Lepisosteus oculatus: one gene and its partners. The protein of the gene in region 4 binds, or shares a complex with, the protein of the main gene of each other region. Links are inferred from orthologs where the notes say so. Each region holds a gene or a part of one and is shown on either strand. Other genes may lie near its edges.

The links. The genes of interacting proteins can lie anywhere in the genome.
Region 1: med12 (region 4) and med8 share a complex: the UniProt entries of both Homo sapiens proteins name them as parts of the mediator complex. The link is inferred for Lepisosteus oculatus from reciprocal best matches to the Homo sapiens genes MED12 and MED8.
Region 2: med12 (region 4) and crsp7 share a complex: the UniProt entries of both Homo sapiens proteins name them as parts of the mediator complex. The link is inferred for Lepisosteus oculatus from reciprocal best matches to the Homo sapiens genes MED12 and MED26.
Region 3: med12 (region 4) and med7 share a complex: the UniProt entries of both Homo sapiens proteins name them as parts of the mediator complex. The link is inferred for Lepisosteus oculatus from reciprocal best matches to the Homo sapiens genes MED12 and MED7.

What each region holds. Positions count from the first base shown.
Region 1 is NC_090704.1:2,359,066-2,366,515, reverse strand, and holds the start of med8 (mediator of RNA polymerase II transcription subunit 8), read left to right. Parts: upstream 1-4,292; 5' UTR 4,293-4,429; coding exon 4,430-4,435; intron 4,436-4,872; coding exon 4,873-4,994; intron 4,995-5,646; coding exon 5,647-5,791; intron 5,792-5,981; coding exon 5,982-6,122; intron 6,123-6,375; coding exon 6,376-6,463; intron 6,464-6,569; coding exon 6,570-6,818; intron 6,819-7,450. Other genes in the region: KICSTOR complex protein SZT2, read right to left, coding at 190-324, 620-790, 1,897-2,070, 2,343-2,468, 3,786-3,809. UniProt on the Homo sapiens protein: Component of the Mediator complex, a coactivator involved in the regulated transcription of nearly all RNA polymerase II-dependent genes.
Region 2 is NC_090724.1:2,833,025-2,841,058, forward strand, and holds the start of crsp7 (mediator of RNA polymerase II transcription subunit 26), read left to right. Parts: upstream 1-4,876; 5' UTR 4,877-5,302; coding exon 5,303-5,374; intron 5,375-8,034. Other genes in the region: smim7 (small integral membrane protein 7), read left to right, coding at 976-1,017, 1,516-1,568, 2,057-2,147, 2,607-2,622. UniProt on the Homo sapiens protein: Component of the Mediator complex, a coactivator involved in the regulated transcription of nearly all RNA polymerase II-dependent genes.
Region 3 is NC_090706.1:30,433,349-30,441,631, forward strand, and holds med7 (mediator of RNA polymerase II transcription subunit 7), read right to left. Parts: upstream 3,159-8,283; 5' UTR 3,003-3,158; intron 2,088-3,002; 5' UTR 2,080-2,087; coding exon 1,381-2,079; 3' UTR 344-1,380; downstream 1-343. Other genes in the region: itk (tyrosine-protein kinase ITK/TSK), read left to right, coding at 5,928-6,065. UniProt on the Homo sapiens protein: Component of the Mediator complex, a coactivator involved in the regulated transcription of nearly all RNA polymerase II-dependent genes.
Region 4 is NC_090703.1:52,281,855-52,289,307, forward strand, and holds the start of med12 (mediator of RNA polymerase II transcription subunit 12), read left to right. Parts: upstream 1-4,278; 5' UTR 4,279-4,362; coding exon 4,363-4,461; intron 4,462-5,722; coding exon 5,723-5,827; intron 5,828-6,267; coding exon 6,268-6,459; intron 6,460-6,733; coding exon 6,734-6,893; intron 6,894-7,227; coding exon 7,228-7,403; intron 7,404-7,453. Other genes in the region: tnfsf10l4 (tumor necrosis factor (ligand) superfamily, member 10 like 4), read right to left, coding at 577-1,007, 1,106-1,195, 1,636-1,681, 2,463-2,612, 3,105-3,284. UniProt on the Homo sapiens protein: Component of the Mediator complex, a coactivator involved in the regulated transcription of nearly all RNA polymerase II-dependent genes.

The DNA.
Region 1 (7,450 bases), on a different chromosome or scaffold from region 4:
CTGGAACAAGCTACCTACCCATGTTGCTGAGCGTGATACCTTGCCTTCTCCCACGATATGGCTGGATGAGATCCTCACAACACTTTACTAGTGGAAACCGAATGGGACGGATGGACAGAATGGCCTCCCGCCGTTTGTAACCTTTCTGACGTTCCGATGGTTTGGAAGGTCGGGATTGAAGTCACTCACCTGCCCCCTCGCTTGTTGGTGCTGCTGTTGGAGGACCTCCGCAATGTTATTCTCCACAGCCCGCAGCTGCTGGTAAACCTGCTGTAGGAACTGGTCCGAGTCGGCCCGGTCCAGCTGGCAGCCCTGAACGAGTACCTACGGAGAAGGGGAAGAGCATCCTTAGCCGAGAAGGCTTGGAAAACGCATCTGAACAGGCACGGCACAATGGCACCATGTGGCTTTTATTATAAACACTTAAGAATCAAGTCAAAACAGCTGGCTGCGTCACTGTTTTCCTCCTGAATGCCTGATCAATACCTTGCATCTTCTTTCCTAATGTCTACACCTGTCAGTCACGCCTGTTTGAGTGTATATTACCAAGGCTCCCCGCCACAGACAGCTCCGTTATCAAACACTTCTCTTCACAAGAGACTAAGGTGTCAGAGATGACCTGGTGAGACTTGAGTCCGATGATGGAGGAGTAGGCCAGGATGGTGATGAAGATCTCTGGCTGGAACACCAAATCAGTTCCCGGGACTTTGAAGGGTCTTGCGAGTCCGGCCAGACACCTAGTGAGAGCGTGGAACACCTCGTCGAAAATCATCTCGCCCGTGCAGTCGTCCTGCCAAACGACACGCAACACGTCGATCAATCAGGCCAACTTCCCTGGAGCCCACCGAGATCCCAAAAGCGAAAGACCCTCAGCACACGGCCAAGGCCACAAGACAAATAACTTGACGAGCATGAAGCCACCAGGCGTTCGATCAGAGAACAAAGAAAAACAACTAAATATACAAAGTATTACTGTCAAAAACTGAGCAATTTTTTCTATGTCTAAAGTAAAGAACCCGACATGATTTCCAAGAAGTTCAGATTTCGTGTGGCAGAAAGACAAGCCCAGACAAAGAACCAGTCAAGTCAAATTGCCGGAGCTGTCCTTACACCATGAGCTTCTCTGTATTTGATCAGTCAGTGACTGGTGTCCAGGCCAGGATACAGCTCCGCCCTGTGACCTGTATGTGCTGGGTAAGGCGCTGGCTCACATGAGCCTCTTGGGATTCACCATCCTACCCTTGAAGACCCACAAACCTACCGGATTTTGCTCCAGAACAGATCCCAGTGAGACAACTACACTCTTAATCGACTTAACAGGATTGATTTGAGCTGTTGGACTGTGTTCAGCTCTAAAACATTTGCAAGTTCCCCCCCCCCCCCCGCCCCCCCAAAGTCCTCCACATCTCCCAGAATTCATTTTACTATAGTGATTACCGCAGATGCGGTGGGTTAACTTCCGGATCTAGGAGAGTCTAGCTTCATTTTTTTTCTTCAGGACAGTATTACCATTTTCTCTTATACATGTTTAAGAGTGTCATTTAATTATTGCATTTCATGAGTAAAATAAATTCCCAATTTTCGAGAGGAAAAAAAAACAGAAACGTTCCAACCAAGCAGCCGGTTAGCCTGATTAATTAGTTAAGTAATTAAGCTGGGTTGGAATGAAAACCAGGAGGTGTGGGGGTGTCCAGAACCAGGACTGAGGATCCCAGCTCTACAGGATGAAACAGCTGTGGATGAGAGACAGACAGAAGTCTGTTTAGGGGCTCTTCTGCATTCCCAAGCTGCAAGCGCTTTGCCACTAGGTGGGAGTAAAAGCCAACGGCCCAGGAGTAAGGAAACTGAATTTCTCCAGGAAGGTGACCGAGCACAGGCGACGGAGGACACTCTTACCACGATCCCCGTGGACGGGCTCAGGTCCAGCTCGATGATGAAGCGGTACCGCCGGGCCAGGAAGGTGACCCGGGTGGACGGCACCAGTAGGTACGGCACAGTGGATGGAGGGTCACCAGTCTGCCAGCCCTTTGGTAGGATGCTCAGGACATCCAGCTCATTCTCCGAGCTTAACTGGTGCACAGAAAACCAGCGGGACTTCAGTTACTGGGCACAACAGCAAGGACTGAACTTGTTCCCCGCAAGCACGCAGCGTAGGTCCAAGCACGTCAGTCCACCCCTTAATTCCAGACCGCTCCTTCCCGAGGCGACAGGAGTCCAGCCCCCGGTACGCCACAGCAAGCACACATCACCAGCACAACTCTAGAGCCGAACCGGTCGGCTTCGAGAGGATACAACGTTTAAAAGCGAAACATGCGGGCAGGGGCGTGAGCGGGCCCACTCACCAGCTCGGCCCCCGGGTCGGGCTGGACCACCTGGTTGAGTCGGCTCAGGAACCAGGCAAGCCGCACGTTTCGGGAGATGCGGTGCTCCTCCTTCATGAGCAAGTACACCTGGCCGGCCTCCTCCACCTGGCGAAGGAACAGGGAGCTCAGAGCGTCGCTCACCGGCCCGGGTCGTTTCACCCATCAGGGCGCCGCAGGGGGCGGCCGGCCGGCAGCGTCTGCACCGCGCGCCCTGGCAGCGCCTCCTCTCGAAACCCCCAAAGAAGAGCGAGAGGCGTCTGCACCTGCCACACCCTGAAAGTCAACACTGGCTGGGAAAATGCTTGCAGCCACGATTTTGAAACCACGAACAAGATCGCAGCCTGCAGTCGTAAAGAATAACATTCCCAGGAGGGACTCGGCTGCTATCAAGACCCCGGCTGCATTTTCTTTTTTATGGACCACACTGACCACAACAGGATCTCAAACGGGCTCGCAGGCAGGCTGGCCAGCAAGGTGAAGCCGTTCTGAATATAGCTCCATGACACATGGGTGCCTTGGCGATGAAGGGTTCTGATAAAGGGCAAGACTGGGCAACGTCACGGCTTTTATGGCCTGGAGTGATGAAGTAAATTGTCGTTTTTTTGTTGATTCACAGCTACATGTGGGTAGGTGGCAGAAAGAGTACTGGGTGCCATGCTGGCATGAATTCCATCAACAGTATGGTGGTCTCATCCGTGGGAGACATCCTGTTACAATTTAAACCCGTCAACACTACGCACACTGGTTAGGGAGAATACACATTGCTACATACTGTGCATTTGCCAACACTACCCCCGTCAGTGCATTAGCGTGGCTGCTTCTGAAAACCTTCTCGTCTGACAGAAAGCACTACCGACAGCTTGCAAACCACGGACGTGCTTTACGGTATCTAGTGGTTATGATATTCACTGTAACAAGGAAATACGCGACGACAAGGAGGCTAAGGACACTTAAGAAATGTGAATCGGCGAAGGAGTGAAACACCTGCTACAGCAATCCCAATTATTACCTGAAAAAAACTACAATTACAAGCTGCAAGCTGCAAGCTGAACACCTCGGGGGTAGTCGTGTGTCGTTAGACTAAAATAAAAACGTTCAGTTATCAGTCATGCTCCTACGAAACACAAAAAGCCAATCGATGCACAGAAACTCGAACAGCCATTTGGACTTTGCTAGTCGCTAGTTATAGCAGTACCACCAGCACTCCAGCCTGACACAACCGTTACGGAGAAATTACGCATCTTCCACAAAATGCACGGAGCTTTGAGTCATTTAAGACATTGCCTCTTAGCCAGTCCTTCTATAGCCATAGTAACACGCCCAGCTTCCCTCATGCGTTTATTTTACTTGTCATCCTATTGCGAACTGGTCTGATCTTCTTTCTGCGGACACCCCGATAACGTGGGGACAGTGTCTACTCGCCTCGGTGTCCTGTTCCTCTGCCATCCCGGGTCTCGCATCCCCAGGGGTGTCAGCGTGGAGCTGTGGCGGCGAAGACTCCTTGTTTATTTCGCTACAATTTTCTGTTTATTTGGCACAGGCTGCACCGCGACCCGGAACTGCTTTCCGCTCTGACCCTGCAACGGGATTAAACCAAACCCATCCGGAAATATTTAAAACAGCTCATCTGTTGTCGAATTGTTGCAGAACTCTGTGGTGTTTGTTTTAAAAAAAGAGGGCATTACGAGCATTTACCAGCAGAATATCTGGCAGACAAAAGATGCGCCACTGGCTAGCAACGCCTGTCGTCTCTGCTTAATATTTATTAGTATCTTCTGGTCACGATCAAACTTTTGAATTTTCTTGCTTCAGGTAAAATGTTAGATTCCTAAAAACGAACTGTCACAGAACAACCGTTTTCATAGATGCTAAAATAAAGAGCCGTTGAAAGTAATAAACTGACCCCCGGTGACACATGACTATTCTAAGTGTGTGGCAAGTCTTTCCGAGGTCCTCCACATATCCCAGAATTCCCTTCGCCTCTTTTGAATGACCATAGACACGGGAGGATAACTTCCGGATCTCAGTTTGTTCAGTTTCGGTTTTTATTTTGGATAAACAATACGATGCAGGTGAGTACTAGCCAGCTGGTTTTATTTATTTTTTAAATCATATTGGAGTAGATTAACGTGTTGGGTAACCAAACTGTGTGCATTTTGAAATCGAAATGCTGTCTTATGGTCAGATTGGGATATGCTAACCAGTCGGTTCTAGGTTCATTCTAGTATGTAACCGCTGTTCTTGAACAAGACGAATTCTTAAAGTTAAGAAAAAAATATTAACTCGTAAAAACAACAAAAACGCAGACCGCAGCTTCGTATTTCGTTACCTTAGGTAGTTCTGAGCTCATATTAAGTTCTCAGCGTTTTCGACTAGAGCCTCCCAACAAAGTCTGTGCTCAAGTGTAGCTAAAGTCACCCTTTCGATAATATAGCCATCCGAAAAATGACTCGGGGAATCTTACGAGCTTTGTTTCACCGGGTGGTGTTTTCTCCCCATCCGTGTGCAGCAGCGGGAAGAGAAACAGTTGGAGGCGTCTATCGACGCCTTGATAACTCGAGTGGCCCACCTGAAAAACTCCCTGCACAGCTTCATCTTCAAGCTGGAGAACGAGTACGAAAGACTGGCATGGTGAGGGCTGGGTGCTTGCAGGTGTTTTACCACTTTCCCGAGAAAGGAAACTTGAAAACATTTTTTTTATTATTATTCTAGATCTTTTGCTTAATATCGTCTAGAATAACTCTCGCAAGACCGAGAAATCTTGTGAAGGGTACTGTAACACAATGTCAGACAGACTAATGTGTGGCTGATGAGCTTTGTAATCTTTGTCTTTAACTTTGTGTTAATGATAATTGATTTTAAACTTGTAGACAACACCAGAGAATAGTAGTTGCATACTTCTTTGGGTAATGTTTGTACTTTTGGTTCGCCAGATTCCAAGACTTACATTTCTAAGGTCTTCCATAACCACTTTCCTCAGGATATTGCAGTTAGGTCTAATTAAATAAAATATAGACATGTAAGTAGTAACTATTTTTAATGAGGTATTTATTATTGTTGGATGAGGAGAGAAGGAGCAGATGTGACCCAGGGCCAGGCCCACTACAGGAACAGTAGTATTGTGACTGTCAGAGCTGGTCATTTTTAGACAAGTTTTAGGTAATTAAGTACAGTTGATATTAATTTTTATTGTTGGGTTGTAGTTTTAATTCCTTGCTTTTTACTCCCAGATCTTTGATAGAAGCACCATAATTAATATTGTATGTTGTTCTTTGTTTTTTAGGCCTTCAGTGCTGGATAACTTTGCCCTCTTGTCTGGCCAGCTTAACACCATCAATAAGCTGTTGAAAAATGAGAAGACACCTGTCCTGCGCAGCCAGGTCATCATCCCTCTACTTCTGTCCCCAGACCGGGACGAAGAGCTGGCTGTGAGTCGCAGTTCAGTTCGCTCCTTTGCCATGGCTTTTCTCTTCTCAGAACGTGCCTCGCTTTGTGCCGCTGTTGTCAGCGAAGCACACAAAGCAAGGAGACGATCACCAACATGTCATTTAAAACCCTGATTTCTTCTCGATGGCCTGCTCAAAGCCAGCCCACTGTCAATTTTACCGTTGCCCCTAGAAACTGACGGAGCAGCGCGTGCCCGTGTTCAGCCATGAGATTGTTCCGGACCACCTGCGCACCAAGCCAGACCCGGAGGTTGAGGAGCAGGAGAAGCAGCTGAACGCTGAGGCAGTCCGCATCGGCCCCGAGTTGGCACAGGTGAGTGTCTGAATGCCTCAGGTGCCCACCCTCTAGGGCAGGCTCTGCCGGTGAGCTCCAGGTGTCCTATGGGTGTTCTACCACCGTCGGACTGTTCAAGAACCTTGATGTCTTATTGAGCATGCAGGGCGATGACAGCTCTTTATCTCTAATAATCATGAACAGGTGTTGTTCTGATGAGAGTAAAAAAAACAAACGTCTGACAATCTCCGCGTGCCCTCCGTTTGAAGCCTGGCTTTCCCATCTTGTGCAGAAACAGATACAGACGCTGAACAAGCTGTGCTCGAACCTACTGGAGAAGCTCAACAACCCTCGGGAGGACCGCGAGTCCGAGAGCGCAGGTATCTCGCCAAACTGTTGTCCGCTCCAGAACCCGCAGGAGGCTTTGAATGGAGCAGCCTGTAAAAATAAAAACACTTTGTGAGTCACGGCGTCGTTTCTTGGCAGCTTTGCGGCAGAACAAGCAGACGTTCAACCCCACGGACACAACGGCCCTGGTAGCGGCCGTGGGGTTCGGGAAGGGGCTGGCGAAATGCAGACCCCCTGGGTCCGGGGGCCTGGTCCCCCCGGGGCAGCCTGGGACCGGAGCCATGCTTCAGGGAGGGCCGACCCTGCAGCAGGTCACCATGCCTGGCACTTCCAACCCACAAGCGGCTATCGGCGGCCCCGTTCCCCAGCAGCAGCAGGGCCAGCCAGGTAAGAGCCTCACCTGCCACCTGCAGGACAGGTGCGATGGGCAGGAGTCACGCAGGTCGCAGCATGGCACAAAGGAAGAGTGGGACACCTCTTGTTGTTTTGACGAATACGACGTGATGAGAACAGTCATCCTGAATGATACTGACCTGAGCTTAACCATCTCCTGCAGTCAGCAGTGTCCCAAGTGCATCCGCAGCCCTTTTGTGCGTATGGAGCAGCTTCTTTCATGGAACGTGACTGTCTCCCTGTTATAAAGATTTTCTCTCCGTTATAGATCCTTAAATAAAAATCGGAATGAGAAGTCACGAGGGCTGAGAGGCCTCTTCTCCCCTGTAGCTTGCTTCTGTTTTTTTTAAATTCCCGTGAGCTAAGGGTGTGAATGGCAGTAACTGATCTGACTAGTATTGCTTTTAGTCTGTCAGATAAAAGTGGATTAGCTATAACTGCGGTATTGTGAATTTCAGAGGGACTGCTTATGGGGGGAAAAAAAGCTGAGCTCCACCTAATGTAACATTTTTATTTATTTTTCCGTTATGTTCTTTCCTTTCCTTTTCTTCCCTTTTATTTGCACGATATTTTTAGTTAGTCATGCTGCATTTGTACTTTGAGAGCTTAAAACATACTAAATGAAA
Region 2 (8,034 bases), on a different chromosome or scaffold from region 4:
TAAATACTTGCCACTTTTTTTTGTGTTTATATTGATTTTCGATGTTTTCTTTAAGGTATGTAGTTTCACAGAAGGCTATTAGAGGAAAACATTTCTATCGCTTAGTTATACGTCAGTATTTTATTTTTAACAGCGTGGTTCCTATTTGCCTCGCAGGTATTTAAATAACTTTTTAAAACGCTATTTTGTGACATGTTTCAGTTTGCAAAGAGTGAAGTGTTCAACAGAAGCTCTGTTGTACAGAGTGACGTGTACTCTACAGGCTCCGGTATGTACTGTCGCTGTAGTCAACATGGCTTTTGAAGGGATTGTTGGAGGCTTAAGCCTATGATATATTACGTTTACTGTTGCAGTGACATGCAGCAGTTTTGGATCACTCGTAATCAGTGTCTCATTCGACACATTTTGATATCCGCAGCTGGTCACCCGCCTTCGTTACCACATTGAAATGGAAACATTGAAAGACTAGAAAAGTGTCACAGCCTCCCGACACATACAGGTTACACCCCTTTTGTGTTTGGGTGTTTGACGTAATAAGAATTCCTCACACCTATATAGCGCCTTTCTGGGCACTCCATTCAAAGCGCTCTACAAGTAATGGGGACTCCCCTTCAACTCTACCAGTGTGTAGCCCCCACCTGGATGACGCACCAGTGCACTCACCACACATCAGCTCTCAGTTGGGGAGGATAGCAGAGTAATGAAGCCACTTCTTAGATGGTGATTATTAGAAGGAGGCCATGATTGGTAAAGGCCAGGGGGAAATTAATTGTTAGCTTTTATTCTTGTCTGCAGTCAGACTTTTTCCGCAGTTTATCTCTAGTTCTGTTGCATGCTATGGTTTAAAGGAGGGTGGGTTAAGAGGAATTTCTTTAGAAAGGTCTTCCTCTATGATCAGAAAAAGCGCTACTGTTGTGGGCATATTCCTAACAATGGGTTTGTCATAACAACTGGTGCTGTTTTTTTTTCTTGTAGGACATTGCTCATGAATGCAGGAGCAGTCCTAAATTTTAAACTGTAAGTAACGTTTGTGCAATATTTTTATTAGTGGAAGAATTACTGTTGAGCCATTTTTACCATCTGGTAACTGGTTTTAACAGTGTCCTCATTTTAATGGGTAATTCCACTTTAGTGAAGTCCAGAATTTTGAAGTATCTATAGCATTTAATGCAGCAGTAAAACAAACCATGTTAAAATGATTTCAAGATGACTTGGCCTTATAAGGAGAAGATCCTGAAGAAAAATCTTATGGCTTTCCCCTGTATTAACAAATAATGCAGTGGCCAAAATATAGGAGTATTGTAAAAATACCAGTTTACTAGTGATATTTAATCCAGTTCTACAGTATTAGCAGTTAGGTGGACAATCTCTGTGGTCTCTTCACCTGATTTGAACTTTTTTTTCCCCCATTTCTTACAAAATGAAGGAGATAAAGTCCTAGAAAATATTGTGTCTGAGTCTGCAATGTCATTAAACAAACCAGTGTTTGAAATTCTATTTTCTCTTGTGCCACAGAAAGAAGAGAGAGTCTCAAGCATTCGGAGATGAGTCCCATGGCCCTACAACAGGTAACAAGAAATCAACAGTCTGCTTTTCTGTTGCCTCTGGATATGTGTATCAGTAGTAGGTGTAGCGCCAACATGATACAATTTCCCCACTGGAAGTTAAATTTGAGAGATTAATGCTGGTTAGTCCTATCTGGTCAGTATAGAAATGTAGTGTTCAATATAGAATTTTAGGATGGGGTGGAATCTGACTGAATGGGGGGCGCTCACGGCACGGTTCATTTCTGAGATGCACAGCTCTTGCAGCTAGTCTACCTTGTCTTGCATGCAGTGCATGTAGCTGAATAATGAAATGGGCCATTTAGTTTGGTTTCTATGAGGTTTTAATAGCTTTTAGAGAGTTACATTACAGCCAAGCAGTTGGAAAAGAGAGTGTCAATCAGAGCATCAGTGCAAAGTGAGGAAGAACATTCCAATGGCTATCAGCATGCTACATATTACACTGTTTAACCTGAAATAAGACATCATATTTTTTTCTTTCGTTTTTAAAGGAGACAACATCCGGGAGTTTCTTTTGAGTCTCCGCTATTTCCGGATCTTTATTGCCTTATGGAACATTTTTATGATGTTTTGCATGATCTTGTAAGTACCGTTTTTCCCGTGATTGGCAGTTTTTGCTGTGTAACTGTGTACTGTTGTCTTTAAACACTTTAACTACTCATATTGCAATGTACAGAGAATGTGTTTTAAGAACAGGAATGTGATGTTAGTTTTCAGTTCTTTCACCAGGTTTTCAGACAGTTATTGACAATAACAATTACAGTAATTAAAATACAAGATGTTGAGGGAGAATTCCTCCTCTTACATTTTTGAGTTGACCTGTGGTGTTTTTCCTTTCTGAAAATCTTTGAATGATTTTAATTATCATGCATATATTTAGTAGCACACAAAGGTAAATGAGAACATATTATCTTGTTTTACTCCAGCAGTATAAAATATTGTTGCCATGTTCTATATTCCTCCTTTTCTGATCAGGTTCTTGTGGAGTAACCTCTGCTACTGCTCAGAATAATTTGGTCCTGTTTTATTTTTTTTTCACAGGTTATTTGGATCGTAAGGATGAGCTGTAACAAGAAGATGCACAAAACCATACCTACATGAATTACCTCCCACACAAGACTTTTTATACATGAACATTTCTGGGTATAAGACTACTTGTCATAAGAGTTAAAGGGCTTTCTAAATGCTACACACATCACTTTATATATGTAATTGGAATTCTTACACTGTTTACTCTTCTGGTACCCCATTTTTATAATTTGAAGTGTCTTTTCCTCCCCAATGTTGAATGCCAAATGCTCACCTTCTCCAGTGATGCAGATTAAAAAAAGTGAGCATGTCCCAGTCTTTCCAGCTGGAACACTCTTTTTGCCCTGAGACGTAAGTACTTGAGAAAGGTGGAGTTCTGTAGTGTTAGATGGCTGTGCTCGGCTCACACAGTCTCTACACAGCTACACCTGAAGCCTGCTTGCTGTGGTTTCATGGGGTGTGAACATGGGGCACTTTTTTATTTCTTCCTTAATATCTCGGCTCCCAGCTTTGTGTGCCCATTCAAGATCCCCATGTGTGTAGTTTGTTCAAAGCACATGTTCCCTGTAGCCAGGCTCACGCCTTGCAGACAGCAATGATTATTTAGTTATCGAACAGACCAGGCTACTTAGTTATCTTAAAGCATTGCGAACATCAAGGGACCAGATATCTGAAACAAATCTTAGGGTATTGTTTACACATCTGTATCTGTAGCCTATAATGTAAACTTTTTTGAGTTAATTGGTTGTATAATCATGATGCAAATCTCCCTTCATCCCCAATGATCTCTATTAAACCTCTATTGTCTCATGTTTATGTAAATATAAATCTGTACATTGTGACTTATATTTGTGACTCATTATTGTTTTAAAGTATGCTGACTTTTGTTGAAAAATTAGAAGGAAAAACTTGACTACAGTATAGATGTGAAATACTCAAATTAATCAAAATATGCTCTCAAATCTTGTCATTTGTTAGGGTACCGAATGTGACCTATGGTTCTCTAATCACATGCACCTTATTTTTGTTTTATGTTTTTATACTATAACTGGCCAACTTTGTATACTGATGTCATTAACTTCATACCCTTATCTGATAAAATAGCATTTATTTGGATTTTAAAAACCCTAATCTGAATTTTCAAAAGCATTTGTCAAATATTTCCTTCTACCTTTTTCTAAAATGACGTGCAGTTCAGTGTGGTGAAAAGTGGCCTGTTGATGGAGCCAAGTACCAGTACTCCATAACCCTTATAAAGACCTTGTCGTTGGTTATCAGTGGGTATTCCGATAATTTAAGTATTTAAACTGTTATGTACTGTGTAACATAAATAGAAGTGCTTTAACCCGCAGTCATTTGTTATAGAGAAGCCAGCAGGGGGCGTTCTTCCCAAACGATATAAGGCAATCCCATATGTTTAGGTTGGACTGTGTTTCAGAACAAATAGAAGTACGACACAGATACGTACAGCAATAAGAGCTGCATGTCGTGAATGTGCATGAGAAAATAAGCCAATTGTTTAACTGACTACTCGTGTTGGACGAAAATTAGAAAACACTAAGACCTCCCTAGTTTGACGCATTATCCTTCTGTTTTTAAAAATGCTATATGAGAAATTCCTAGATTTGTTTTTGTTTTCAGAAACAATAGGAAAACGTACATTAGATTTCTGCATTTACTTTTCGTTTTATCTAGAACAGCTCGTGTTTTGTTGGGTCATTTTGTAGGTAGCTTTTCTTGTTGTTTTTTTCCACCCCAGTTCCACGTATTATGTCCCTGATTTAATTACAGCTTCCACTTCTTCAACAGTCGAAGCCGTGTCTGTTTTTAAATGTTCAAACCCAGTTTATCGCTGTATCCTGGTATAGAAATTCAGTTTTATGGAGGACGCAGACTCTCCCTCTTCCCACCCCAGCCAGTGCCTAGATGACTAGAAAGTACGAGTAATTGCATTAAATCGAGAAATTTCGGCTGTGGCGTGAAAACTGCGCGGCGGGGCTGTGACTTTTTTTCTTCGCAGTTCATGTGAGAATCGGGACCTGGGCTTGCACGTAATCCAGGGCAGACGTTAGCTTAAAACGAGAGGCCGGTCTGTATCTCGGCTCCATGCTTTCCGAGCCTTTTGTGCTAAACCAGGTGTGCGCGGATTCCAGAGCAATGTATTTCTGTGTGTGTGTGTGTGCTCCTGTGTGTCACACGTCTCAATCTCATTGTTCCGCGATGCACGCTGCAATTTCCAAAAAAGCCGGCCCACCTCCCTTTATGAGCACCCAGTGGTCCCAGCGTGTACCGCCGGCCCAGCCTGTCAGACGTCTGAGCATGTGTCTCACTAGCAGGTGGCTACGTGACGACGTCGAGGCTGTTACGTCGAGTGCTTTCGTGCGTCCGGTGTAGTTCCCATCATGCGCCGGGCGAGCGTTTTGCTCCAGTTTATTTCAGGGAGCCTTGGAGTTTGGAGAGCGCCGGAGTGATAGTGAAGCACAGGCGAGATCGGAGCTCCTTCTCCCGGGATATATACATACATACACACGCACACATATACACACGCACACGAAAAGCGAGCGAGAGAAAAAGCGCCACAGAAAACATGCCGCGCCACTTCCTAGCACATCTCCCGAAAGGCCTGTGAGTGTGTGCAAGTCACCTACCCGTCTCTTCGGAGGAATCTTCCCCCTTGCCCAGTCCGCCGATCCGCACCAGCCCAGGCAATGACAGCGGCCTCGGCAACCCCGCAGCAGATGAGAGACCGGCTGCTACAGGCCATCGATAGCCAGAGCAATGTGAGTAACGGCGCTGTCTCCCTCTCCCTCTCCCTCTCTCTCCCCCGTATCTCCGTGCGTTGCGAGTGCTCCGGCTGCGCTCGCCCGGGTGTCCCCGGTACGATCTACAGGTTATCACCGCGCACCAAACACGAAAGGGGACCCCCCCCTGCCGCCACCACCACCACCACCACCACCACCATCGGGACTCCCGGCTCTAGCCAGGAGCCGACCACCGTCCAATGTGGTCGAGAGGTTGTGCAAGACGTTGGAAATGCAGTGTGGGGGGGAAATGTGTAGCCAAGCGCAGGAGTGACTTGTCCCCGCCTGGACAAGTTCGATGCTGACTAGCTGGTTTGCTAAGCTGATAGTTTTTTTCTACCCACCCCCCCCCAACCCCTGCACTTAGGTTTCGCTTTGCAAGCTCCTCACGGGGCGAACGACACATAATTCAGCCCTATTTCAGGCTGCGATGGACAGCAGTTCGCTGTGGGTTGTTAAATTGAGGGTAGTCTCCCCGCCGCATACTGATCCTGTGGAAGTGTGTGTACACATCAGGATGCGTTGTCCTGTTCAGAGTAGCTCTCTTGTGTGTGTGTGATGTGTACATGTCAGTGTTTCTGCCCTCGAAATCATTCGTATTTTCCCAAAATGTGGGGTATAACCTAATGTACGTGTCATATATGCACGGGGAGAGAGCCTGAAAGAATGTCTAAACTGCTTTAAACTACAGTGCTCTTCTTTTGACAGGGCCATACTTAATCTGGGGGCTAAAGAAACACACTCTTAAAGTTGCACACTTTATTCTACAGAGTGTTTTCTAAAATGCCTCCCCACGTTTAACAACCCGATTCTTATTAAAAGTTCGGAGGTTCGGGTCCTCGGCGCTTGCTCTAGTCAAAATATCTCGGCGGCTTGAGCCACCTTCATCCCGGCTCGGGCTTGTACTCGAGCCCGAGGCTTCGGTTTTAAGCTGACGGGCCTACGAGAAGGGGGAACCGCTGAAGTAGATGTGTTTACGGCCTAAATGTAAAACTTTTCCGCCCGTCTCGTTTTCTTTTCGCAAGTTAGGTACCGTGGAAAATAAGTAGAAATACACTTTGGATTTTTTTTTAAAACGTATCTCTTTTCAGATAAGAAATTAGCTGTATCAAAACGCGATACATTTGTGCTATCTTAATGTAATATAATACTGTATTCAAGAAACTAATTAGGAGTTTAAGAACGTGTGATACTCCTGCTAATTTAGTTGTTTTTTAAAATAATGTTAAGTAAAATAAACTGATAAAAGATTCAACCATTTGTGTTGATAATGTAGGTGATATTTTCCTTTCTTGTGTTAACGCTAAGAAAAAGAAATTCGAATATAAAAAGACTGCTTAGAAGTCGAATTATAATGTAAAATAACGCTTTTTATGTTTGTTCGACATCTGCTTTCAGTGTTTACAGTGCTGTACTGCCTCCTGCAAGATTTACCCTCGACGTCATTAAAACTGACAATCACTCTATATCGAAATGAATTGCTTATGTCTGAGCAAATGTCTTTTAAAGACACGTGCTAAAGTGTTTTAGACCGACTTAAGTTCTTCAGTTGTACTGCGGCAGGGGTTTATACTAAGAAGTAACTGCTTAGACTTGACACAGGAAGTGTTTTCACGTACTTGGCTGAGGTTATTGGATGGCGAAGTATCGGTATGAACTTCAGATGTGCATTTGTAGGCACAACGTTTTAATTTGACGAATATTAAGAGTTTGGGGCTGGGGCACATGGAGTTTAGATCATGTGTAAGAAAGTTTCTAACACTTTGAATTACTTTGTTTTTTACGTGTGTGCTTTGCCTATTTAAGTGATTTTGTTTCGGTTGCTTCCTAGTTGCTGAGGGTCACAGGAAAGAGGGTGCCCTTGGGTGTATTAATGTTGTCCATGCTTTCAAGTCATTTCTAAGGCCTACTTAAAATGGGCTAGGGAAAACGGATTTAACCGGAGTCCATTGGTAAAAGCCTTTTAGTCCTTGCTTTCCTCATACTGGAGTGCTTCAGGAGTAGCTCCTGTGATATAAAGTAAATTACCCAGACATCCCAAACAGCATATCAATGTAAAGATGTGGTCAGATCCACATTAAAGTACATCTTCGTTCAAGAAAAATGTTTTGCAGATTGCAAAGCATGCACAGGTGGACAGAAAATAATGAAAGCACCAATAAAATTCCCCCGAATAGAGTGTGTAGCCACCACCTTCGAGGTGTGTTAACCATGGCATAAAGTCTACTAGTGTCTGGAATTCTGCAGGAGGGATGCATCACCATTCATCCACAAGACTCGTGCAAGGTTGGGGGAGGTAGAAAACACTGTCTCAGGCATTATTCTGGAATATCCTGCAAGTGCCTGTTTGGGTTCAGATCTGGTGACTGAGAATGCCATGACACACGGAGAACCTCAGTGTCATTCTCATCAAACCACGGGGTGACTTGGGGGGGGGGTCATCGTCCTGGAAGACACCCCCCCTCCCCCCAACCTATGGGAAAGACATGCTGCAACATTGGGAGGAGATGATCACTCGATACCTTTAAGTAGTGGGTAACGTTAATCTTGTACGTAAAAGCACCCCATAACATTAGGGAAGTGCTCTTTGCTGTGGGAAGGCCATTTACAACGATTGGCTGATTGCACTCCGGGTTGAA
Region 3 (8,283 bases), on a different chromosome or scaffold from region 4:
CTTGCTACAAAAATAGGACATAGGAACTAGAATAATAGTGAGACATCAATTCTAATACTTCAAAAGCCCTATAATTTTTTGTGGTAACTAAAATGCTTTATTATCTTAGACCTTTCAAATGTGTTACAAAATGTAATAATTTGAAGTATTTTTTTTAGAAAATTCGATGGGGAAAAAAAAAAAACAATTAATAACTGTAGCTCCACTGACTGAATCAGTCTGAGACCACACTACATCTAATCCTGCAAAACTGAAATAAAATTGGTGCTAGAACAGGTGCTAAAGCATAAGTTTAAAATGAGAATCTAAAAAAAATGGAATAAAAAGGCTGCGATATTAAAAGCAAACTGCAACACTATTTTTATATTTCGTGGTTACAAAGAATAAGCACAGAAGAGTGCATTTCAAACCTTAATAAAAGTAAGATATACAGAGTAACATGTGATACCTCTAATTTACATCTCAAAATAGGCAAAATTTCCAGGTATGTGCAGCACTATATTCGGCGATTCAGAACAAGACATCAAAACGTCCAGTGATGTGAAGCTGCCTTATCACATTGTAAACAAGCAGACTTGTGAAAACATCTCTTGTAATCCCATAGAAATATTACTGTCGACTTCAAGATGGTTTTCCTTTCAAATACTACTTACTAACTCTGCTTGCAGATCACGTTGGAACGTTTCTGGGGTGAAACGTCTGCTGCACAACCTGCACTTATTCGCTCGGAAATCACATCACATTACATACAGTACTGTACAGTCATGACAGGGACTAGTGACCAGGAAGGGCCACCCCACGTCACAATTCACGCAGTTCTCGAGAACTCTCACCCGTGACGAGACCAAGGGTTTGTGACAACAATGGAGATTACACAGTCATTTCACAAAGTTCACGGTTCTGTGCTTGATTTGGAATTTGTCAACTATTTCTGTGCCAGCAATTATTTTGTTACAGAGATCTAATAACCGGTCTGGGAAGTTGGAACTGCAGTTCCCCCTTAAGCTTGCTTTGGTCAACTGGATACCAAACCTTTCTTAAGCTTGCAGCGCAATGAAAAGAGAAATGTCCACTCAAAAGTGTGACTTTTATTTCCGAAAGGTTCCTGAGATATTTTCCTGCTTGAACAACAGCATAGCCTCAGATAACACAATACTCAAACTGTTCATCCCCTAGACACTTGTGACTTCTGCTTATTTTTGCTCTCAACATGCAGCCAAAGAGGACATCAACATTTTAGCATACAGTACACAGCCCCTTTAGCCACACAATATCATATCTTTATTCTCACAACTCCTGATGTTGCAGCTTCAATGCGGTGTCGCATTGCTTTGAGAAAAAACACCCATGTGGTATTTGAAAGTACAAGGAAAAGTCAGTTTATGTCATTTCGTCAATGATGCTGCACATGGCCGCATCCTTGTCCCACGTTTTGTCCCTTTTGTCCTTTTCTTTGTCCGCCTGTCCCACCATGCAGCCGCCACCGGCCTCGTCCACGTCCATGGGCTCCGATTTCAGCCGGGGGTGCCCCCCGGTGCCCGCCTCGGGCTGGGGCAGGTCGTCGGGGAGGGAGGCCAGGCAGCCCTGGATCACCTCCACCACCCGGTCCAGGTGCTTCTGGAAGCGCTCGGCCGTCTCCAGCCGCTGGCGCTTCTGCACCTCCATCATCACGCGCAGGGTCTCGCGGGCCTGGTGCGGCCGGTACTCGTTGATCAGGTGGTGCATGTGCACGAAGAGCAGCTTGAGGTCCTCCAGCTTCTCCTCGCGCTTGATGCTGCCGGGGCTCTTGATCAGGATGTCCAGGAGGTCCAGGAAGTTCACCAGGATGGACATGTTGAGCTTCTTCAGCTCCTTCTTGTGGTCAAACTGAACAGGGTGGAGGCGCTCGATGCCCTGGCTTTCCAGGGGGCGGATGATGAGGTCGTCGCACTGGAACTGGTTGCCGAACATCATGTAGGTGTCCTTGATGGGCGGCGGGGGCTTGGGGGCGAGGGCCTTCCGGACATTTTCGTCCGTATACTCCTTTATGTACTGCATGGGTGGCGGGGGGAGGGCACTGACCTGCTGTGGCTCGCCCATGGTGGAACCTGTGGAGACAGCAGCTTTTTTTTTAAAACTCTGCTATGCAACTACATAACTCATTCTCGTGTTGCTAAACAGCACTAGTTTACCACGTTGTTATGCAGATCGGTTCTGAAATAACTTGCTTTAAGACAAAATACAGTGTAAAAAGCTGTTTTGGAATAAAAAACACACAATGCTCATGGAAAATGCAACTAAACATAAACGTATGTGCAAAGTTGTTGCACAAACCTAATAAAGATGGAGAAAAATTAACACTTTCTGATCAACAGTTGCCAATAGCATAAATGTACTCCATAACATTAAACCCAAACGTATGGTAAAGTAAAACTCCAATGTATGAGTATTGGGCGTGTGATTATTTTAACGAATAATCAGTTCATATTGACAATAAAATGATGAGAAAAATGTTTCAGCAATCGGCTCTGACCATCTATCTACAACAATTTTTTTTTAGGTTATATTTAAGTCCCGGACGATCTAAAAAAACCCGCAGAATGTAGCATTTACTTTTGTTTATACTACGTTGAAAATATTTGAAGTTACAACACTTGCCAAATAAGACATGCCTGCATCAAAATATTAATCTTCGAGACCAATCCAAAAGCATCTTGCAGGATAAGGACACACTGTACACCACATTCGTTGTGTAGCGCTCACGAAAACAAGGGGCTTACAACATCGCATATTTTTGTTAAATGTACCTTATAAACATTACAACTAGCCGTATGGACCACGAAGACACCAATGTGCCAAATTTAAAAATGAAATGTATTTACAGCGAACAGTTTACAAAAGTAAAACAGGGACTGTGCTGGTGCTGTTGATATGACTGCTATTCAGTGGGACACGCTCCATTCACCCACACTACCTGTACATATGTCACTTTTTACAAAAACGCAGGGTAAACTCCTACCTACCGTTCGTCGACTTTATAATTTTCTATTTCTGAAGCATTCACAAATGGGTATTGAATCCCTTGAATATATTAGATGAAGACATCTAGCATTCTCTCAACAACGCTCGGTTCTCTTCCTGCACAACAGGGGAAGCCCAGGCGCCATTGGCTGGAAGCCGTCTCGATCCTCTTTGGATCTCATTGGCTTTTCCAGTCTCTCCAGATTCATCAGCAAAGTCTATTGGACGTAACGCGTTTAATAACGTAAAATCCGATTGGCTACGAGAGTACCTCCCTCTCGCGGGCGTAGGCGGAGAAGTAATAGTAGGGTAATAGTTTGCAATACTTTACTAATAGTTTGCGATCGGAAGGGAATGTATTTAAATTGACAACTAATTATATGAAATGTCTAAAAAAATTGATAAAATAAAAATGGAAGTTTATTCTACTGCTTTTCAGCCTGGCCCAAGCGTGGGTTTCAGTTTAGAAGTGCTGTCTTTACTAATTAAATTATAAATTGATATCACCCTCCACCCCGAGAAAAATACACAGTGCAGGGTTTCATAGGAGAAGCGGTCCTATGAAGGAACTGAATAACTGAGTTTAACCACCCTTGGAAAGAACCTGGTTATTCCGACACTGGTTTCCGAAAAAAAAAAACTATTCGAAATTGTCTTCTGTGTAGACTAGTGCCACGATCTGACAAACCCTACATGAAAAGAAAAATCAAACCCACTTCTTCGGACAAATGTGCTGGACCATATCACTGAGTCTTGCTTGTTTAAGCTCTCTCGACCACAACTGGGTCAAGGTCTGTGTCAGTTCTGCATGTTGCTGTTTGAACTATGTAATTCAGGGTTCCATTTATGATTTTCTTATAGGAGCTGCACATCCCAGTGGATCTGGTGTTTGGGGGGCTACCAAAACGTGGACATTCAACTTTGAGAGTTTGTGAACTTGTCTCAGGACTGGGTGAAACAGAAACAGTATAATTTATTTATTGTCTGGACATGCTTTCACTGCTTATTATTTACTGTTTTGTAATGTACTGTCCACATTGTGTGGTGTTGTCGGTTGCACTGTGCATGTCCTAAGAGAACTGAAGTAAGAATCCCAAAGTACACGTACATATGGCAAAGAAACTCCTCTATTTATCTAATCATGGGGGCCAGAACTCTACTCTTTGTGAGCAGGTCTAGGTGTACTGCTTCACAGGAAGCAGGAAGGAGGGGCAATAGCCCGTGTTTGTGGCATTCTGGGAGGGACCCACACTGAACAGCTGTCCAGTGTGGTTTATGGAGAGTTCTGGGATGTGTTGCCTTATGAGGTGTGGGGTTCTTGGGGTCTCCGCCCTAGCCGCTCCTGACCTGCCAGTTGGTCCCTCACTGCCTGGGCGCGAACCCGTGTCTCTGGTGTCACACTAAAGGGAACTTGCCAGCTGAGCTAAAGGAGACTTCCCCCAAACCTGGGCAGCTAAGATCCCTGTTATATGGACATTGGCTCCTCCACCAAGAGCAGGGGTCAACAGCTGGACTCCAGCTTATAGGACTTCTAGGTCCAGCAGACCACGTGCAACACCTGCCACCAACCACTTCTGTATCCTGGTTGTAGCAGTTATGCACCAAGACCTCTAATCCAACTGATTGCCAGCAGGGGGATGGCTATCTCAACAGCGGGACTAATGAAGCAGGGAACCTGCAAACTGGGAAAAACCTGGCTTGGCTCTAGAGTCAGGATCTAGAGAGATGATATAACTAAGTACCTACAGGAAGATTCCATGGACTGATTCTTGTTCAGTAACTTTTAATGCATTTATGTCGACTTGATCAGTTCTGTATGCATGTCAATGTGTTTTATAAGACCGTGTGTGAGTCTGGAAGAGGGAATCCAATTGGAGGAGAGACCATCAAGGTTGAGACTGGGTAAGTGAGAGCTGTTGCTCTGCTGCAGACTTCTTCTTGGTAGAGAAGCTATCTTATACTTACAGTATGCCAATAAGAGAGCTAAAGAGTAAGTCCCTCGCCTCTTTTTTTTCTGAGCCTAAATGGGAACATGCCAGAATTACAATATTAAAGAGTTAAGCCCAACGCTGATATACTTATTTAAAACAAGCCCAATGCACTTTGGCAAGAGAGCCACATCTTCAAGACATGGTTATAGATTCAGATAACTGATTTGATGCTTTTGAGTCTGACGAACCAGGAGTACAAATGTTGACTTTCACATTACCTGGGAAGTGGTTAATTTGTAGATTTTTTTTTTCATTTTGTCTGTGTAAACTCTTTAGTGTTCATAAAGTAAAAAAAAAATGCTAACCTTTTCTTAATTTGTGAAATATAAGAAACAAAACACGTCTTCAGTTCATTTGTGGGAAGACAAAAAGTATACGCGAGGAGATTTCATTTTAAAAACATAATTTATTATCCCCGTTTTATTTATTTTTTTACCTATTTATATCATTAAATGTGTTTAAATATTCGTGGGATACATAATTGTGTGATGCAAATCAGTGGGTGGACAGATGACTCATAATCCAAGGGATTATTTATAATTTAAGATGTCTGTACTGTCACTACTGTACGTAGCACGGATATAATTTAAAGTGACAAATGTATTCATATGTTACAGCTTTCAGTTCCACTCCCAAAAATTGTATAAACTCTAGTTCTGTACGTGTATATTTGGATTTGTAAATGTATATATACATTTAAAAACTCGGTTTATTTCTGGAAAGATTTTAATTTACGAACAGAATTCAGAAGGAAGTGGTTTTGCCTGCTGCCTTGCCGGAAACTAAGTACCTCATATACTTCTTGATTGTTGTGAAGATAGTGCATTGCATTTTTTTTATTGTGTAAGCACCATACCAAACTAACAGTACACTGTCTCGGTTCTTCTCTTTCGACTCTAGTAAAAGGTTTCTCCATGAAGGATCATTTTCTTTAGGATGAATAGACAAATCATTTTAGAAGAGTTTCTTTTCAAGAAATCCCAGCAGAAACGAAGAACCTCACCTTGCAATTACAAACAAAGATATTTCGTTTTAAGTAAAGATGAACTGGCTTACTTCGAACATCGCCCTGGGGTACGTAACGTCATTTCACTCTTACTTTCAATGATAAAAGTAGAATTACTGTAATACAAGTGTATTTTATACAAGAACCTAATGCTTCCAAGAGAGGCACCTGAAACGAGCACGATATGTCTTCAGCACTGTTTAGCGCGATGTAGTTCCACAACCGCGGTTATCTTGGAAAAAATAAATAAAACAGCAATTAGAGTTACGCCAAACTTCATAGTCTTCTGCTTTAATTTATCCTGAAACCATCGCCTGTGGCATCCAGTAATGCAGTTAGATCATTGATATAGCGGCGTGAGTTAAAACGGGTTTCTTTTGGTTCTGTGTTATTGCAGCGTATAATGCACAAACATTTCAAAATGTCAAAAGGATTTTATTTTTTAGTAAAGCATAAAATTAATAATTTGCCATTTCAGGCACTGTGAGTTTCAAGGATTAATATCTTATGGATGTCAACATGTAGTAAACAGCTATGATGGTCTACGTAAATGTATTACTACATACAGTTCAATTTTTAAAATTACGTTTGATATATGCGTTACATCCACCCCCAAAAATTAAATAAAAAGATGCACATCTACTAATATCCATGAAAGGCTAGTTTTAGAACTAAAATAATTGGATAAGCATATGTAAGACTATGTTAAAACAGTATCACATTAAATAACTTAAAACAAAGTTTTTACAGTATACAGTACAGTATATTCCCAAACAATTCCATCGTGGTAAATATCTAATACAGACACAACATTCATAATTTACAATTATTCCTCCGCCTGTGAGTTTGATGTCATTTTTATGTAGTATTTTGTGTTTAAATTTATTGAATCAACATGTCTGTTTTCTGTTCGTTTGAGGCAATTCTTATGGGGAGTTAGTTGTATTGTACTTGCCTTGGACCTCAGTTGCTCCTTTTTATGTGTATTTTAAGAGCAATATTACAAGATTTGTAAGCCTGAAATACATTTTTGGTTTTACACAATGTTGGGAGTTTTAGCATATATTTAATTCAGTTGTTTTGTTAAATATGGGAATTGTTGTTGGCCAACATGGAAACCTTCAGATAAAAACATAGCCCTCCCTGCCTTTAATCTTCAAAGTTACAGCTGAACAGGCTACATGTTGAAGTTCTTGTTTATTTGTCTTTGTACTTTGATTAGTGTTTTGTGTAGTAGCAATATCATGATCCACACCCCAGGTGGAATCAAATTAGTCTGTCTTATTTGTCGACTCATGTTTAACTGATTTTTACAAAACAAGCTATAGCTTTGCTTTTATCCATTTAAAAGTAATAAACAAGTGAACTCTAACATCATTGCTAGAGAATGGTTGTTTCAGACATCGATAAATTGTATTAATCTTCTTGCCTTATTTTGCAGGTCTAATTCATACGAGGTTGTTAAATTTATATTTCAAAGTTGAATGTCCTTTTCCCAATATATATATATATTTGTGTAAATTCCACAGTTCAACTTTTAAAATAGATTTGAGAGTGCATTTTTTGTATGTATTGTAATATGGATATAATGTTATAGTCATACTAATATAATCATATAATAAAGAGTAAGCAATTGCACGTGAACAGCAGATATTTTTCTGTATTTTTTTCTATTAACCAGTGTCACAATTAGCAATACAATATGTGTAGATACTTTATAAAGCCTGTAGAATAAGGTGTTTCTGATTAGTCTGTTAACAGTTACTTATCTTTGGCAAACAAAGTATTGAAGTGATGGAGAAGTCTTCTGCCCATGGTGAAAAATCTCTTTTTTTTTTTTGTTTGAGGTAGTCTTTTTAAAGTAAAGAAAAAAAATTGTGAGCTAAAATGTTATTAGAATGTAATAGAATTTGTAAAACAGCTTTTGAATAGTATTTAATCTATATTCATTACCTGCTGTATATACATTAGTTCAGTTCAGTTTATTGTCATATGCACTGAAATGTGTATTTGCATGTGTGCTCCAATACAAAGAATACACAGATATTAACAGCGCACAGAACAGCAGCACCACCAACAACAAGTTAAATAACATACATATTAGAATAAGTTACATGTAGTTGATTAAAAGTTTTTCTTTAAAAATAACTTTGTCTTTCCCCTTAAAGATCATGTCTCCTGGTACAGAAGATGCCAAGTAAATTTGTCAGATGATTTAGAAGCATGATAAATCTGTGTAGACATCACAAATGTAGAAGGTCCACCCGGTCTTTTATGTTATAATAA
Region 4 (7,453 bases):
CTACTCTAAGCTAAAGGAGCCCATAGGAACCTGGCACCCCTTAGCTGGTGTTACCCACTCCAGATATAATCTGTGACATCAGAAGACCTGTCCATAAGTTTGCCTTGTTAAATTACTGAAATGAGTATTTTTTTCAGTTATTTCATTACAGACTTTTATTAAAAACACAAGAATATTTTAATAAAAATATTTTGTACAAAATGGGAAAATTAGATCTAATTTTTATTCTTTAAACGGATGTGCGTTGTTTGAAAATTAGACTAAGCTTTTTTTTTTACTTTTCCCATTAATACCATTATCAGAGTGGATCTGGCTAGCAATCATATGAGTGCAAACCTGATCAGACACAAATCCCCACAAAGGGAAATACGTGTGTGCTAATTATTATCATTATAAATACCACAGCAGTTAAAAACTAGAGTTTCTGTAAAATAACACACTTGCAAGACTTTAGCGACATGGCCTTTGTGGGCAATAAGACATTACATAAAGATTTCCTTAGTGCTCTTCTAGAACAATAATAGAGAAGAAAATCGATTAACCCAATACCTGTTCAGTAATTTTGAACTTCACCAGTTAAATTACCATAAATGCTCCAAAATAAGTGGAATCCTCATTCAAATACACAGAGTGGATGTCATGAACCTTCAAAATGAGCTGGTCCCCCTGCTGCAGCTGGAACAGTGCCCCCTGGTGGCTGGAAACTAGATCGCGTTCCAGCTCCATGTTCCAGCATCCAGTGGAGGCAGCCTTAGAAAGAAGGATAGGCTCCTGGTAAGATGTCTTCCTGTATATGTAGTGTAGAAAAGGCTGGGCCTGCTCCTTGCCAGCTGGGCGCTGCGAGTGGTAATAAACCTGGGAATAGACAAAGTAAAGCCCATCTCGCGGCACCACTATGCCTCCATCCTGACTGTATCCCATCATGCCTTCTTGCACGGCCATGCCATTCACATTGTCCCAGCGTACAACGGCTCCTCTGGGAGTCGTCATGGGGCCCCATTGACTGCCTGTGGAGTACAGAATAAAGACAATGAGCAACAAGCTTTCCTACGGAAATCGAACAAGACACTAAATGCAACACCGTCGTGTAAAAACATGCTCCCACCTGGCTTTAGCCACAGAAACTGTCTCCAGCCCTGCTCGGGGCCCAGGTGGATGGCTGGTTTGTTGGCGTGGGTCAGGGACACATTGTGGGCTGTGAGAAATAGATGAAAACATCACGGAAAGAAGTACCTTATAAAAACCCCACATTTGCCTTGCAGATGGTCTGATACTTATCACAATGCCTACAGTACATGCTCAAAACCTCCAACTTTCGTTCGTCTTCTTGATCTCCAGCATAAACAAACGAAGCACTGTGCTTCTCAAAAACATGCCGCAGTGACTCAGTGCAACTGTCGTGACACTTGGGCGGAGCGGTGGCTCTGTGGTTAAGGATCTGCACCTGTGGCTGGAAGGTTGCCGGTTCAAATTCTGTGGTTGGCAGAGGAATCCTACTCCATTGGGAATTGTATATGCCTACTAAAGTGATCTTTAGGAGCAGTGCTGGGCAAGGGAACCTGTTGGACAGGATTCTGACAGTGTGCTGTGCCAATGAGGACAGTGATTTGAATATGTTGCAAAACAAAAACATACCTGTAAGCTCCTGATACAGGGTGTTCCTGACATCAGATATCAGTTGCTGCAAGACAAAACAACAGGCTCCAGTAGTCAGCACTAGGACGAGAGCGTGTATGTGGTGGACTGAATGACATATCCCACTTGTCTACGTCACTTATTTCTCTCTTGCTTGGGACTGCAAGGAGAAGGGAGCATTACAGATCAGGACTCCCATTGAGAATGGAATTGGGTGTTTCTGTTCTGTTATAATAATTCTTTACACTTAAATAGCACTTTTCTGGACACTCCACTCAAAGTGTTTTACAGGTAATAGGGACTCCCCTCTACCTAAGTGCAGCCAGATGGCACCAGTACACTCCCCACACACCAGCTCTCAGTGGGGAAGAGAGCAGAGTAATGAAGCCAGTTCAGAGATGGGGATTATTAGGAGGCCATGATTGGTAAGGGCCAATGGGAAATTTGGCCAGGACGCCGGAGTAACACTCGTCGAGATTCTTTTGAGAATCATCCTGGAATTGATAATGACCACAGAGAGTGAGGACCTTGGTTTTACTGAGTGTCCCTATCACTGTAGTGGGGCATTAGGACCCACACAGACTGCAGGAAGAGCACCCCTACTGGCCCCAATAACACCTCTTCCAGCAGCAACATTAGTTTTTCCAAGGAGGTCTCTCATCCAGGTACTAACCAGTCTCATTCCTGCTGAGCTTCAATGGGTCGCCAGTTGTGAGTTGCAGTTTGATGTACTGTAGCTGCTGGCTCGTCTATTAAGCTCTCCTTTCCCTAGTCTTGGTTAGTCCAGCGTGAGTGAATCACTGCCTGTTAAGTGGGAGTCTCGTTACCTTCCCGATAGTTTTCTTGAGCTCCGCATTCCACTGGTCACAGCCGGCAAGGTCTTCAGAGCTGAAAGATGCATTTTCTCGAAGGCCTGGATCCACTAGGTACTGCAAACACTGTACAGGATACTCTCCGAGCCTGGCCACCTCCTGGGTCTGGATAAGTGAAGTACAATCAGAGGCGTAATTGCAAACGCAGGACGCATACTTCTGCTCTGTAACCGGGCGGTACAAGTACCTGCGCCTCTTGTGTTTCGAATGATCAACATGGACTCAAAATCACAGTTCATCTCACTTTTTTTTAGATAACGATTAACCCGGTAGTCATCAAACAATTTAAAAGTTTTTAAAACATCTAGAAAATGAGCGGCTTATATGCACAAAAAAAGTAATTCATAGTACAGGAAATCAGTATTCCGACAATAAAAAACATATTCAAGCAAACTAATGTTCCAAAATAGTTTTCATCGCCGTTTTATTCTCTGTCTCCTAAGTGAAGTCCAGCCAGAACTGAAACTGATCTGTTGCTGAGCAGCGCGTACAAAAGTCCACCGACATTACTGTACCTTCAAGGAGTTCTGTAAGGATGAGCAAAGCCAGTTTTTACTGTTTAATCAAGAACAGTGTGTATTAATATGATAAGCTTACCTGCTTTATTTCCAGAGCCAAACTGTAGAACAGATAGGCAGCCCCAACCACTTCCGCTCCGAGTAAAAAACACAAAACCAAAACGAAACTATTCCAGCTCCCGACGCTCAGCTTCCTCTTGGGCGACAATTTCTCCTCCAGCTGCCTGTAGATGCGGTGGGTCTGGGACTCGGTAGTCATGTTTCTGTCGTGGGGATCCACATCGTTATGATAACTCAGCAGCAAAGATTAAAAACAGGGTCTACAGAGAAATGGGAGCCCCCCCAGCCGCCTTACTGAGCCCAAGCAAACCTGCCCGTTACAAGAACTGCGGTCCTTCCCAGTCGGAAAGTCCCGAGCGCAGTTAACGCCTCCTGAGTCACTGTGGGTGGGATGAACGTTTTCGGAGGCATTGATTTATTTTGGTTTAAACCTTTAACTGCAGTTATTTCTACAATTTTAATGCTAGCAATTAACAACAGCGACAACGAATATGATGATATTATTTTTTTTTGTTTTTGAACTTCACAGGTATGCATGCATGAATGCGTTTTGTCGCAGCCTGAGAAAATGTAGACAACACACAGCTGACCTGGACCTCATCTATGGCCATCGAGATAAGAAAGATCGGTGAAGAAAACTCACAGCGGAAAAAAAATAAATAATGTAGCGCACGCATTATTTAGAAAACACAACAAACTATCTTTAAAATTAAGACAGAATCGAAAATTGTAAACTACTTAAAAAAACGAATCAGAGGACAGGGGATGATTGGATTAGCAGAAATGAAAAAAATGTTCTCAATCTACATCATCAAAAAACCCCAACAACAACAGAACCTGTTCATTCTCCGAAGACTTCTTATTCTGGAGAAAATATAGTTTTGTTGACTATGATGTCCTGCCACCACTGTTGCTGTATTTACAGTATATTGTACATTATTAAGCAGTACAGTACTATATTCATGAACAGACTTGTTTGCTCTCTTTGCAGTCGTGAATAGTGGGCTGGTTTACTGGGGGAAGGTTCAAATTCAACCCTATGGAATTTGCAATATATCCATATGTCTGTTTATATAGGATCCGCCCCCGACCTTCGGAAACTTCCGTCAGTATGTCTGGCTGCTTCGGCAATTTCCGTACGCGGGTCTGGCGGATCCGGCACAGCGATTGTGTTGTCTCGCCGTGGTTATTCGGTTCCCCTTTCGTGTGTTTCCGCGAAGACTCGGCACTTGTCGTAGCGGAAGGGGGAAAGCCTTTGCTGTGATGCCGCTGGAAAGATGGCCGCTTTCGGGATCCTGAGTTACGAGCACCGGCCCCTAAAGCGGCCGAGGCTCGGGCCTCCCGATGTTTATCCGCAGGACCCCAAGCAAAAGGAGGTGAGGAAAGGGGGCTCCGGGCTGTCTGAGCCCCAGCAGGGCACTGGAGGGGGTGCCCGAGCGGGCTGGCTGGGAGTCGGGCTTGCAGGAGAGTCCGAGGATGCAGCCTGGGCCTGTTTTGTGCTTCAGTAACAATAACAATGAGCAGATACACAGACGTGAAAAATGACATTAGGTTCTTGCAAAACTGTTTGAGTTTTACGTGCAGCCGGAGAGCTCAGTAGCCGCTGTTGTACAGGGACTTGTAAAAATAACACCAGAAATGCTGCTCACCTTGTGTTTTTTAATAATTTTATATGCCCAAGGTGGTTTTCTGCCTTAAACATAGACGCTGTGCTCCAGTGTTTATGGCAGAGATGGGAATATTCCCGAGCAGGCTGAATACACCACAGCAATGTGTTTTAATTATGCACGGAGCTACGGTTATCAGTAACTGAGTGCAGCAGTGGTGCTAAATGACGTGACGAGCTGTTGTGCACTAGCTCTGTGAGCCTGGACGCCGGTTTGTCGTTGAGAAGCAGTTCTGCTGTCCTTCTAACCAGTCCCGTACAAGAAACTTTACAGTTTCAGTGCGGTTGTGATCAGCCTTCCCCAGATCGTACCGGGGTGACTGACGGCGCGAAGCACTTCAGTCGCTGCCCCTTACGGTCTGAGAGACGTTTCTGAAATTTCATGTCTTATTGCTGTGTGAATAGCACACGTAGAAGGCGTCAGAGGTCATTTATCAGTGTGGAATAGTGTATATAATATACATATATATCGCACTACTGCAACGACATAGCTTGCTGCCGAGGTTCTTGCAGCCCAGGGCACTTGTGCCAGCTGGTTTGGAAAAGAGCCCACCAGCACAAAGCAGGCAACATTAGATAACTCTAAGGAATGGTTTTCATTTTCAGTTTGTAATCACGACAGTCTTGTCATTAAGCACACTGCTGTTTATATATCAGTGTGGAAAACACTAGCTTGTCAGGAGTCTGCAAAGTAAGAGGCAGGGGGGCAGGTTTGGGTGACATTTTAGACGAGACACGGGGAATGCTTTCCTTTTTTGTGTACAGCTCGGTGATCAAAGTTGTGCCTTGTGGGATGTCCTGTGTCTATCGTCAGTGCAGCTTTCACACTCCGGTGTTTGCAAACGAACGGCCAGTGTAGCCCGTGCGCCGGTGGGGGAATGGAAGTGTGTAGCACCTCCTGTCCCAGCCGCAGGGTGGCGATGACAGTGCTGTGCTGCTGGCCACTCAGTCTTGGTGCTTTATCCCGTCAGGATGAGTTGACAGCTCTGAATGTGAAGCAGGGGTTCAATAACCAGCCGGCGGTTTCGGGGGACGAGCATGGCAGCGCCAAGAACGTCAACTTTAACCCCTCCAAGGTAAGGAAGAGTCCTCAAGGTTTGCTTGGCCTGCGTTCTTCAGTGCCATCTGGTTGCAGCAGTGTGTGCCACTGTAGGAAGCAAAAGCTCTCATTGTCTGCTGAATTTGTGATAAGTTGACATGGGTTGATGGAGTTGTGTACCTTTTTGTTTCTTTGGCTTTACTGTAAACAGAAGGGCATTTGTGAACATGAGCTTTTGAAAGATAACAACTTAACATCGCCACTCTGATTGTCTTTATTTCACCTATGTGCTGTTTTTGTAATTGATGTTATTTGTTTGGTTTTCTTTGCTTCTCAATAGATAGTCCTTTAAGTAATACTTCAGCTTTCTGTCAAGTTATGGGATAATAATAGTGGAAGTCTCTAACCCTTTTAGTCCATCCACGCTTCTGTTACAGTATGAATTCAGTGCTCATTCGGTTCACGTTCTGTTCACAGATCAGCTCCAATTTCAGTAGCATTATTGCAGAGAAGCTGCGATGCAACACGTTCCCCGACACAGGAAAGAGGAAACCCCAAGTCAACCAGAAAGACAACTTTTGGTTGGTCACTGCGAGATCCCAGAGCTCCATCAACAACTGGTTCACAGACCTGGCTGGAACAAAGCCTCTCACCCAGCTTGCTAAGAAGGTGTGAACAGTCAAATCCAGTTCATCATGCTGAACTTTCTCAAGTTATACGTTAAGTGTTATGCTTGGTACAAAATGCATTTTTCTTTTAAAATGAAAAGAACACAACTTCACATGAAATGTAAAAAACACATGTAAATGTGTTTATGGAACTTCAGTCTGAATATGTAGATAAAATAATTCTGAAATTAACTGCATGTAAGGGAGAATGATGAAAGCCATATGTGCCTCTGAGAGCCTTTGATTCCTTTTTGTTTGTCCTTTGCTTTGACCAGGTACCCATTTTCAGTAAAAAGGAGGAGGTTTTTGGCTACTTGGCCAAGTACACTGTGCCAGTAATGCGTGCTGCATGGATGATCAAGATGACCTGTGCCTACTATGCAGCCATAACCGAGACCAAAGTGAAGAAGAGGCATGTGATTGACCCCTGTATAGGTAACCACTCCTCTCCCTCGTCCTTCATGTCAGTGTTGCCGAGCTTTGACTGATGTGAAGCTGTTGATTAGTAGCATGCTTGTAGCGGGGCTTTTGGAACTCTTTAGGAAGAAGACAAATGTTTTTTTTGTAAGATGTTGAAAGAGTTTTGTTTTCATAGCCTTCAGCAGTCCGGGGCAGGATCTGATTTCACCTCGGTTACTTAAAGGCTATACAGTGTTAGTTGTGCATTTAACTGCTTCATGAAGGACACAGTAAATATAATTCTGTTTGACCACAATGCAAGATGTTCCCCTTGAGCCTGTAGTTTTTTTATCGTTGTGCCCGTGTGCAGAATGGACCCAGATCATCACAAAGTACCTGTGGGAGCAGCTGCAGAAGGTGGCTGAGTTTTACCGTCAGTCGTCCAGCCAGGGCTGTGTCTCTCCACTGCCCTCCACCCCAGTGGAGGTGGAGACGGCGATGAAGCAGTGGGAGTACAACGAGAAGCTAGCCATGTTCATGTTCCAGGTCAGATGAATGCAATTCGGCTTGTCCTCCTGGAGAGTGTAATACAAAAC